2 linked regions of the Caenorhabditis elegans genome follow. The protein of the gene in region 1 purifies or fractionates together with the protein of each later gene. This does not show direct contact. Each region holds a gene or a part of one and is shown in the gene's direction. Other genes may lie near its edges.

What was found.
Region 2: the proteins of C27B7.7 (region 1) and cutl-1 fractionate together in Caenorhabditis elegans (co-fractionation; one large-scale study listed by BioGRID). This does not show direct contact.

What each region holds. Positions count from the first base shown.
Region 1 is NC_003282.8:8,905,204-8,910,178, forward strand, and holds the start of C27B7.7 (Ig-like and fibronectin type-III domain-containing protein C27B7.7), read left to right. Parts: upstream 1-1,839; 5' UTR 1,840-1,845; coding exon 1,846-1,906; intron 1,907-2,131; coding exon 2,132-2,559; intron 2,560-2,642; coding exon 2,643-2,720; intron 2,721-3,059; coding exon 3,060-3,300; intron 3,301-3,372; coding exon 3,373-3,530; intron 3,531-3,611; coding exon 3,612-3,722; intron 3,723-3,769; coding exon 3,770-3,959; intron 3,960-4,008; coding exon 4,009-4,082; intron 4,083-4,150; coding exon 4,151-4,388; intron 4,389-4,452; coding exon 4,453-4,553; intron 4,554-4,679; coding exon 4,680-4,771; intron 4,772-4,815; coding exon 4,816-4,975. Other genes in the region: Putative serine/threonine-protein phosphatase C27B7.6, read right to left, coding at 61-301, 346-443, 490-603, 940-951.
Region 2 is NC_003283.11:13,403,209-13,408,168, reverse strand, and holds cutl-1 (ZP domain-containing protein), read left to right. Parts: upstream 1-2,054; 5' UTR 2,055-2,154; coding exon 2,155-2,323; intron 2,324-2,369; coding exon 2,370-2,608; intron 2,609-2,656; coding exon 2,657-2,806; intron 2,807-2,866; coding exon 2,867-2,957; intron 2,958-3,293; coding exon 3,294-3,593; intron 3,594-3,887; coding exon 3,888-4,138; 3' UTR 4,139-4,208; downstream 4,209-4,960. Other genes in the region: F53F1.2 (NADP-dependent oxidoreductase domain-containing protein), read right to left, coding at 117-302, 355-444, 495-664, 715-958, 1,042-1,245.

The sequences.
Region 1 (4,975 bases):
AAATAGTTCAAAATTATGTAAAAGAGAGATGTTATCTTTTTAAAATTTAGCAAAACCCACATCATTGAAAACCTTCCACAAATGGCTATTTCTCTTTCTCATCATTTCTTCTTTGAATCCATACATAGTATTTACTCGTCGAACCTCATGATTTCCACGTAGAAGATGAACTTTCTTCGAAAACAGAATTTTCATACAGAAAAGCCAAACAGTGACTTCCAATGAATTGGGTCCACGATCTACGTAGTCACCAAGAAAAAGATATTGAAAATCTGGTGGGCGACCAACTTCATTTGTGAATCTGTGTGAATGATTTATTTTTATTATAACTTCGATAAATTTTACTGTAACAGATCTCCGAGTTGTCCATGAATATCTCCAAAAACAACGACAGGAGCAATTATCTCAATAAGGCATGGAAGTGGCTCCAGAATCTCCTTTATCTTAAAAAAAAAAGGTTTTTGAAATTTTACTTCTTCTGTAACTTACAGTCTTCAATACTTCTAAAATATCACTATCAGAGAATCCCTCCAATGTCCCATACTTCTCAATTCGAGCAATCATTTGACGACATAATTCATGAACTTCTGTGTTAGCATGTTCCTATAAAAATTTCCAAAAATGCAAAACAGTATAGCAAGTTAATCCTACTGGGACCAGGAGTATAGTCTAGCTTTAGCTATCCAGATTAGGGTTTTTACGTGCCTATTTCATTCCTAGCTACATGCCTACCTCATACCTGCCTATATAAGCTTATATCTACGTGCTTACTTCATTCCTACAAACGTGCATATGCCATTTTTGGCAAGTTATCGGTTGTTTTACCCAAGCTTATTTGAATCGGATTTTAATGAAAAAGCACTAAACATCTTTAGGTACTTCAATCGTAAAAAAAATGAAGAGCCTCAAGGGTTGAATCCTCTGTAAAAAATTTCTTACCGTTTCAAGCATTGTTCTTCTTTTGATATTTTGCTGGCCAAGAACAAATACCTTTTGTAAAATAATTGTAAAGCCCAAAAGTTAAAGGTCAATTTCATTTTTTCCTCGTTAATCTTTTTACAAAAAGTTCACGCGATCACACATTCCTCAATCATTCTTGTCTGTCAGTGGAATAGCACGTGAATTGTGAATCCTCGATCGGATTGAATTGTGACTGGCATAACACGAGATATCACATAAAATTAGGAGTTATTAGGGATGATAAAGAATGTGAAATAGTGTAAGGAAGATGTAGAGACGCAGACAACTCTCGGACATTCGACCTCAAATCACGGACCTCCAGAGCATAGACAAGCTTAACTTTGTATCATTTGTTCAGCTATCATTTATCAGAAGTTGTTTTTTGTACTGTTTCTGAATAAAAGTGAATCCTCTTTTCTTGTAAAATTTACATTTTTAATTTTCTAAGTCTACTAGACTAGTAGTACTAGTAGATCATTTTCAAAAATAGCCAACATCAATTATGAAATTTAAATTCAAATAATATCAAAACCCATAAATACATTAAATTTTCTGAATATTGTATTTACAGTCCCCTACTACATAGCATATGTAATTAATGAGATCCCTCTGTTTAACATTTGAATAATTCGGACCCGACATTAAGTAGATTTTTCTAAAAACATTTCACGTTTTGAAATGTTGATAGAATAATGAATGAAACAATCTTGAGAGTTGGCTTCAGTGGAATTTCTTTCTAACTTGTATTACCCGGCAACTTCTCATTTAAGGTACTCGAGAATTCATAAAAAGTTAACGATATACGTCGAAACTACTCCTAATTTGAACAGTAATTTTCTTCCCATTTATTTCAAAATGAACATTGAAAAATTAAATATTTTTCAGATGATATCATTATCACTGGTACTTCTTCTGCTGTTTGGCGTTCGGTGCTTTGATTCAGCAGGTGAGTCACTTCAAAACTCGTGAACAAGTTTTGCACATGTCATGCGTTGTTTGAGAAATGCGAAGGAAAAATTTCATACGTAGGTTTCAGATGCAACAAAGTTCAAATATATTGAAGCATCTCGAGAACCATGAGGTGTTTTGTAAAACTGAGCTCAAGACTTGTACATAATCTTAATCAGAATAGACATAAACAGTGGCAGACTTTCAAAAATTAATCTTTCAGGTCAAATAAACGACGACTCACCATTATTCATTAGCACATCAATTGATAATTCAATGAATTTAAAAATCTTGGTGGAAAAGAAACCATATTTTACGGGCTCTGTTACGGGTTACAAGCTCTATTATACAAATGATTCAAGTCAAACCAATGAAGAATATGAGAAATGGATGCATCAAGAAGCACTTTCAAATCAGAATTCATATAATTTTGTAATTGATGCAAATAAACATGAAATCGTGTCAGGAGATGTATATCGAGTCAGAGCAACTGTTTTCTTCAATAATGTGGAAAGTGTTCCAACTGGAGTTATTTCAATCAATACAAGACAATCTATTCCAAAAGCTCCATTGATTGTTAACACTAAAATACTGTACAATTCATCTGTACTCATTTCATTTGTACCTGCTGATGATGTCAACGCTATCGAGGTTAGTATGGATTTGTAATACTGTTCTTTTGAATTAAACTTGAAATTGATAATTGATAGCTATTAAAATACTTTTGATTCCAGAACTATACTTTGATGTATAAACAAATGGAAGCGGAAGAATGGAAATCATTGAATTTCAAATCTGATTTTGATGGAAAGGTGAGATCATGGTTTAAAGGTGGAGTTGTGCCAACGGGGGAAATGTTTGAATGTTCGCATGCTTCCATATAAAACGACCAATTTAAACTTTTCAAAATTGTTTTAAATGTTTCATAACAGTCAAAATGAACAATTATTCAAATTTTATCATAAGTTTGGAAGTCGACCAAAAAAAAGCTCTACAAGTTATGCATTATTCGTATTCAAACATTATAAAGCTTCAAAATAATTTGTGAACTTCGTCGATTTTTGATAATTTTGGGTGTTTGGGAGTATTCAAACTTACTTAATTCTTTTTGGGGACTTTTTATTATTTGAAAAAATTTGGAAAATGTTCAGGTTCTTCTCGATGGCCTTATTCCAAACCATACTTATGAAATCAAAATTTTTGTAACGGGTGGAATAGTACAAGGAACTCCGTCAAATTTGGCAACGTTCACAACAAATTCAACTGCATTGGCTCTCGTAAAAACAGAACCAGATGAAGAATATACTGCTGATCCTCAAACAAATGAACCATTGAGTATTACATGTACTGTTAAATCAGTCAGTAAAGCATCAGTTTTATGGAAAGTTAATGGTGAGAAATTATTTTTTAAAAAAGTCATAAATCAATTTAAGACTCCACCGATCAATAAAACAAAGTTTTCAGGAATAAAAGTATCCGTAGATTCAAGTTTCTACACAGTTGTCACTTCAGTTCATGAAGATTTTATTGAGTCAACAATTCGTGCTAAATCTAGAACTCGATCTGCAAAATTCACTTGTTTAGCTACAAATGATGCTGGGGACTCATCAAAAGAAGTTAATGTAAGAATAAATATTTAATTGTGACCAGTTCAGCATGAAACAAACCAAGTCAATATACATTTCAAAATTGCAATTTTGTAGGTAATCATAAAAGGACCCGGAAGTCCTCCGTCTGAAATCACACTAGTCGCAGAAAAAAGAGGTTACACAATTTCATGGAAACCTCCATCACATCCTAATGGAAAAATTACGGTGAGGTATATTAAAACACAGAATTAATCAATAATAACTGTTTTCAGAAATATGTAGTATATCACACATTAAATCGAGAAGATCCATTATCCGATTGGCGAAAAATTGATTTGGATGGATCTGAAAAGATGGTTCGAATAATAATGGATACGGAAGAAAGTTTTTATGGAAGAGTTCAAGCTGCAACTGAACTTGGTCCTGGAATTATTTCTGATATTGTGGCAATGGAAAGAGATAGTGAGTGAAATCTAAGTTACATAAATAATCAAGTTTATTTAATTTTCAGCTCAACCAATTTCCGTCGAGTCTGACCTTTTTGGAGTGTCTGCAACCACAATGGTGGTGAATCCACGAGAAACAGTGAGTTCATTAATTAATTTTTAAAAAAATCAATTCATTTCTTCTATTGTCTCAGTTTTGTATTCCAGCTCTCGATTCAATGTACTGCACGTGGCAAGCCTCGTCCATCAATATCAGTTGCAATAAGTGATCGAAAAAATGCGAGTCAGGTGGAAGTTGATGTTTGGAGTCGTTTACAAGCCACGTCATCGGCTGGAATTGTATCTGCAGTACACAACTTTTCAGTGCTTACATCAAAATTCGTGCACTGTAGGGCAAAAAATTCAGCAGGCAGCAATTATTCTACAATGGAATTGAAAGTTGATAGTGAGTTAAATAGACACACTTCATAAATTTTTTACTTCCTTGCATAAATCTGAAAACTATTCAGAACCAGGAGATGCTCCAACTCAAATTCAAGTGCTCAGTGTCAATGCACTAGACGCTCTCGTAGTGTGGCACTCACCACAATTTCCAAATTCTCCGATAACAGTAAGTATTTATTTTTGTCAAGAGTTGAAAATAACTAAAAAATGAGATTTTATTAAAGTACAAAAATAGTGAAAATTTTGATGCTTTCATTTGATTTTTCCATATTAATACTCAAAACTACTTCAGAGTTACATAGTTCTTGTGAGCAATGATGATAAAGAAGACAAAAGTACATGGCTTCAATATGAATCGAACGCTAAGGAAACACAAATCAATAGGTAATTTGAAATAGTCACATTTATAACTTTGGAAACATTTTCAGAATGCTTCTTCCAACTGGAAATCTGGAAAAATCAACAGAATATTTTGTATGTGTTCGTGCAAAAAATGCAGCAGGAATTGGTCCAACAAGCAGTTTGATATCATTTATAACGTTGAATGGAGGACCTGATAGTCCTCCGGATAACTTAAAAGTATTGATA
Region 2 (4,960 bases), on another chromosome or scaffold:
AACTGACGTCATACAATTAAAAAGTTTCAATTTCATGTTAGAGTCACAAGAAAGAGGGAAATATCACAATGTGGGAAAAATGATTATGAAATAAACTGCAATTATTGATAAGCCATTTACTTGACGAGCCATCCGGTGCAACGAATGTAGTGCTGCCCACGATCAAGAGCTGTTAACGATTGAATATCTTCTGGAGTCAGAGCAATATCGATTACTTTGAAGTTTTCTACGATTCTTGATGGGGTCACCGACTTCGGTACGATACCAACATTCTGGCGGAGAGCCCACGCGAGAAGTACAAGCTGAAAAAAGGTATAATTGTTTGAATACAGTCTGAGAATTAATTAAACTTACAGGAACTGATGTATTGTGCTTCTTAGCTAATTCAACGACGACTGGATCTTCAATTAACTTTGGTTCGTGTCTTGCAAGTGAGGAGAAAGCCTGTAAATTGATTATATAAAACGAGTTTTCCCCAGAATATCGAAACTAACCTGGAAGAAAATGTTTTTTTCCTTGCAGTACTTCTGAAGTGGAATTCTTGCAAAATGTGGATGATACTCCAGTTGGTTAGCACATGGCGGCACCTTGGCGTATGTCTTGAGCTCTTCCAAATGCACAATTTCATAGTTTGAAACTCCAATGGAACGAACTTTGCCAGCAGCTAAAATAATAAAATTAATGAAAAATCCAATAGATTTCTGATTTTCAAACCTTTAGCCTCTTCCAGCACTTCATATGCAATTTTCCGGTATTCCGCGTTATTCACATCATCATTGTCAGAGTCATTCGGTTTTGGATAGTGAACAAGATACATATCGATATAGTCGGTTTGAAGAGATTGTAGAGATTCTTCGACAAATCCACGGCAAGCTTCTCGACAATTTTTGCTTTCTGGGAAGAATTTGGATGTCAGGAACACATCAGAACGAGATAATCCATGCTTAGGCAGGAGAATCTGTAAATTTTGAATAAAGAAGATTTGATTACAAAGAGAATGTAAACATAATTTATCTTTGAAATAAAAATATAAAAATTTACCTTTAATGCTTCTCCTAATTCCTTTTCATTCAAATAATACTTTGCCGTGTCAAACATCCGATAACCGGCAGTGAGGGCTGCATCAATTGCTGGCGGAACATTTTCTCCGGTAACTTTGTACGTTCCGAATCCGACGAATGGAATGTTATATCCGGAGTTGAGCTTTTGTGATCCTCCTGGCACATTGGCAAACGAATCCGACATTTTTCTCTGAATTTGAATATATAGCACTGAGAAAATTGCAAAAAGTGCAAGTTTTGAAAGATTAGAAGTTCTAATTTAGAACGATAAAATGGCATATACCGACTGTGGACTAAGAATTGTACAAGAAAAAGAAAGATGCAAAGGGGTTAGAGAAAGAGACAACTTGTCGATGCGGCCTGAATCGAGGTCAGTCGCATCAGGAATGAGCGGACAGCAAAAGTTATTCCCTCACTTTTAAAGAAGTAAAAGTGTTCTTTGGACAGTTTTCTTTAAGAAAAATAATCTGTGAATTTTGTTTCATTGGTGCCAGAGAAACTGATGTTTGGAATTATGCAATAAGCATGAGGATTATAAAAATAAAATTTGAAAAGAAAACTATACATTATTTGAATTCGAAATTATTTTACTTTAAAAGTTCCTTTTCTGTTTTACATCGAAAAAATACCGAAAATTTGGATTGGGCGAGACGCAGAGATTTGCCAGAGAATTAATGTTGGAAATAGCAAAACCTCATTGTATTGTGGTATTCAAAACACTAACGACAAGTTTGGAAAATTAATATATATATGAAACAACAAATAAAAAACGAATAGCAATAAAATAAATTAAAAAAAAAAACAAAAAACAAACAAAATTGGTTGATTATTTGGAATGGCTAAACAACACGCGCTTGCGAAATATCGGAGCATCGTTGGAATTGATTACGGTAATTTTTAAGAAAAGATGTCTGGAAAAGTTGGAAAGTATTATTCCTCCAGGAGCAGTTTGATATTGAAACAAAGGGTTTCAATAAACATGAAACCAAAATTCTATGGAATATAAAAGCTGGTTATTCACAGTGCTCCTCCATTAATTCCCCTCTATTCTTGGATACAACCTATTCTGCAATCTAATATCTCGGTTTAAGATATGGACAATAAAGAAATAAGAAGAACACTTGAGGACTATTTTCCTAAAGGGTTCTTGATCTCAGAATCATCAAAGTATGATTGTCATTTGGAAGACATGCATCTTGTCCTACAGCTTCTCCTAGCTACTCTGGCTGTAAATCCTGTTCCTATTCAAAATTCTTTATACGGTAACTATTTTCAGTAATAAATTTATCTCTGCTTCAAAATATTCAGGAGATGTCCAAGTTGAATGTGACTCGAGAACTATATCAGTTCAAATTAAAACTGAAAAACCATTTGTTGGGGTTATCTTTGTTAAAGATTTTGCGTCGGAAGAAGTGTGTACATCAAGAGGAACTGGAAGACTTTCAGCTTTCTTGGAAATTGAAATAGGATTATGTGGTGCACTGAGACAGCGAGTATTGAATCCAAAGGGACTTGCTGTTCGAACGACAATCACAATTTCATTTCACGTTAGTTATTTATAATAAAACATATTTCCTTATCGCTTTCTGTTTCAGCCATATTTTATCACAAAAGTGGATAGAACTTATAATTTGTTGTGCTTGTACCGGGAGAGCCAAGTCACTGTTGCAAACAACATATCCGTGGATGAAATCTCTACAATAAGCTATAATGTCAATTTGACAATGCCAACTTGTACTTATCAGGTGCGTCATAAACTAAAAATATCTCTTCTGGTTGGCTTCGTGTATACGTATAACTTTAAGATCCTTAGTGGTGGTCCGTTCGGTGAACCTGTAGAATTTGGTTTAATAGGTCAGCAGGTTTATCATCAGTGGAAGTGTGATAATGATAAAGGTATGATAATTCTTATAAAAGGTATGATTTAAAAAAAAATAAAAAAAAAAAAAATAAATAAATAAATTAATATTTATTAAGAGAGTGAGAGCTTAAGCTAAAAATAAAATAATTCCACCAAAGTGCGGCTTCAAGGTGTACTGTAGGATAGGTGTGGAAACTACAGTACTCCTCACATGCGCACGCAATTTTTCGCAGAAGTAATTATTTTATAAGATTGATCGTTTCGGGAGCAGGTTGTGCATAAACGTGCATACGTGGATGAATGAACACAGAATATAAAATTTAAGGCAACCAGTCAAATCATGGGACTAACGATTCTTAGTTTGTTTTCAGAAGACTCATTCTGCATGGTAGTTCACACGTGTTCTGTTGACGATGGACGAGGTGAAACCTCATTTCTCATAGACTCGAATGGGTGCTCAATTGATAAGTTTCTATTGTCGAACCTTGAGTATCCGGGAAACTTACTCGCTGGGCAAGAAGCTCATGTGTATAAGTTTGCTGATCGAGATGCTCTTTTCTTCCAGTGTCAGATATCAATTACCGTCAAAGAGCCAGACCAGGAATGCGTGAGACCAATATGTGAAGATGTAGAAGGCGGTGGAGCACCCGTTGTTGGGCCACCTCCATATGGTATGATTTCGAAAAATTTAGTGAACATTTGGCAAAAAAATTCATTTTTGACATTTTTTAAATCTCCTTATATGTATGTTGTTGGAATTACCAACTATCACAATAAAGCTATTCAGAAACTGTGACATTTTTGTTGCAGTTTTAGGGAAAACCCAGTTTTCACCAGTCATTACTTCGACGTCCTAAAAAGTGTTTTTCTGATGTTCTATTTTGAAAATTCGGTAATATACAAAAAACTTTGATTGAAATTTTCGAGAACTCTAACGTAATAAACACATTTCTAAATGTTTTCAGGTTTTTCTCAAAAGACACAAGTTTCTTTTAATCAACGTGCTAAACGATCAGAAACTAGCCTGGATGAGCAAATTACGGATGTTAGGACACGATTTTCTGTTAGCTATCATTTTGATATTCAAACAAATTCAATTGAAATTATTGAATCTTGTGTTTTATTGTCGACAATGTCTATTCCATTTCTCCTTTTCTACATTCTTATACTAATTTTGACATCAGTAGTTACAGTTATTATTTCTCCAAAAATATAGTTCATATCTTTAATAATCCCTTCCCATTTAAAACCACTGTTATTTTTTCGAAATGAACCATTTTTAATTAGTAGGCTATTTCAACAGAATCCATCACCGTCATTAGACGACGATGACAAGTGATTGATCACACAATCTAAACTGTGTGATTGATTTTCAAACTATTCATGTAATCAAGATAACGATTCGTGGCGTATTGCGGAAGTTGTAAAAAGTCGAGTTTCAGACAAAATTATTTAAATTAGTTACATAAGCTATACATACATGTTTAATTGTAACTCCTGACCTTCTCTCTACAAGTAAGTATATGAAATTTCATTCTTATTCTTCATTTTGAATGAACAATTTTAAAATTTGAAGCTTCTAACAACCATTGTTGCTGAGATCGTTGTGAGACCCACTCAGAAAAATATTGTGATCCTTTGAAGGGAAATATCAAGTTTTTCCGAAATTAGTATATTGAAACGATATCTGTATCATGAGTGGGCGGCAATTCAATTTTCAAAAATTCTAAAACTCGCGCAAATGCCAAACTATCAAGTTATTCATCATTTTTCGAATTGCTGATAAGAAATATCAAAATATCAAGATTGTTATAATTTTTAATGACAGTCATAACTACCTATTAATAATAACTACATTTTTTCAAACTTTCTGTCTATCATTTGTAAAAAAAACGAACTCTATAGCCAAATTGTTGAACATCTTATTACCAAAATTCCAAACTTTGGCAATCGCAGAAAATCCGTACATCGAAAATAAAAATGCTGTAAACCAACTTATCCAACTTTTTCCAAATTCGTGATAAGGATTTGAAAAACT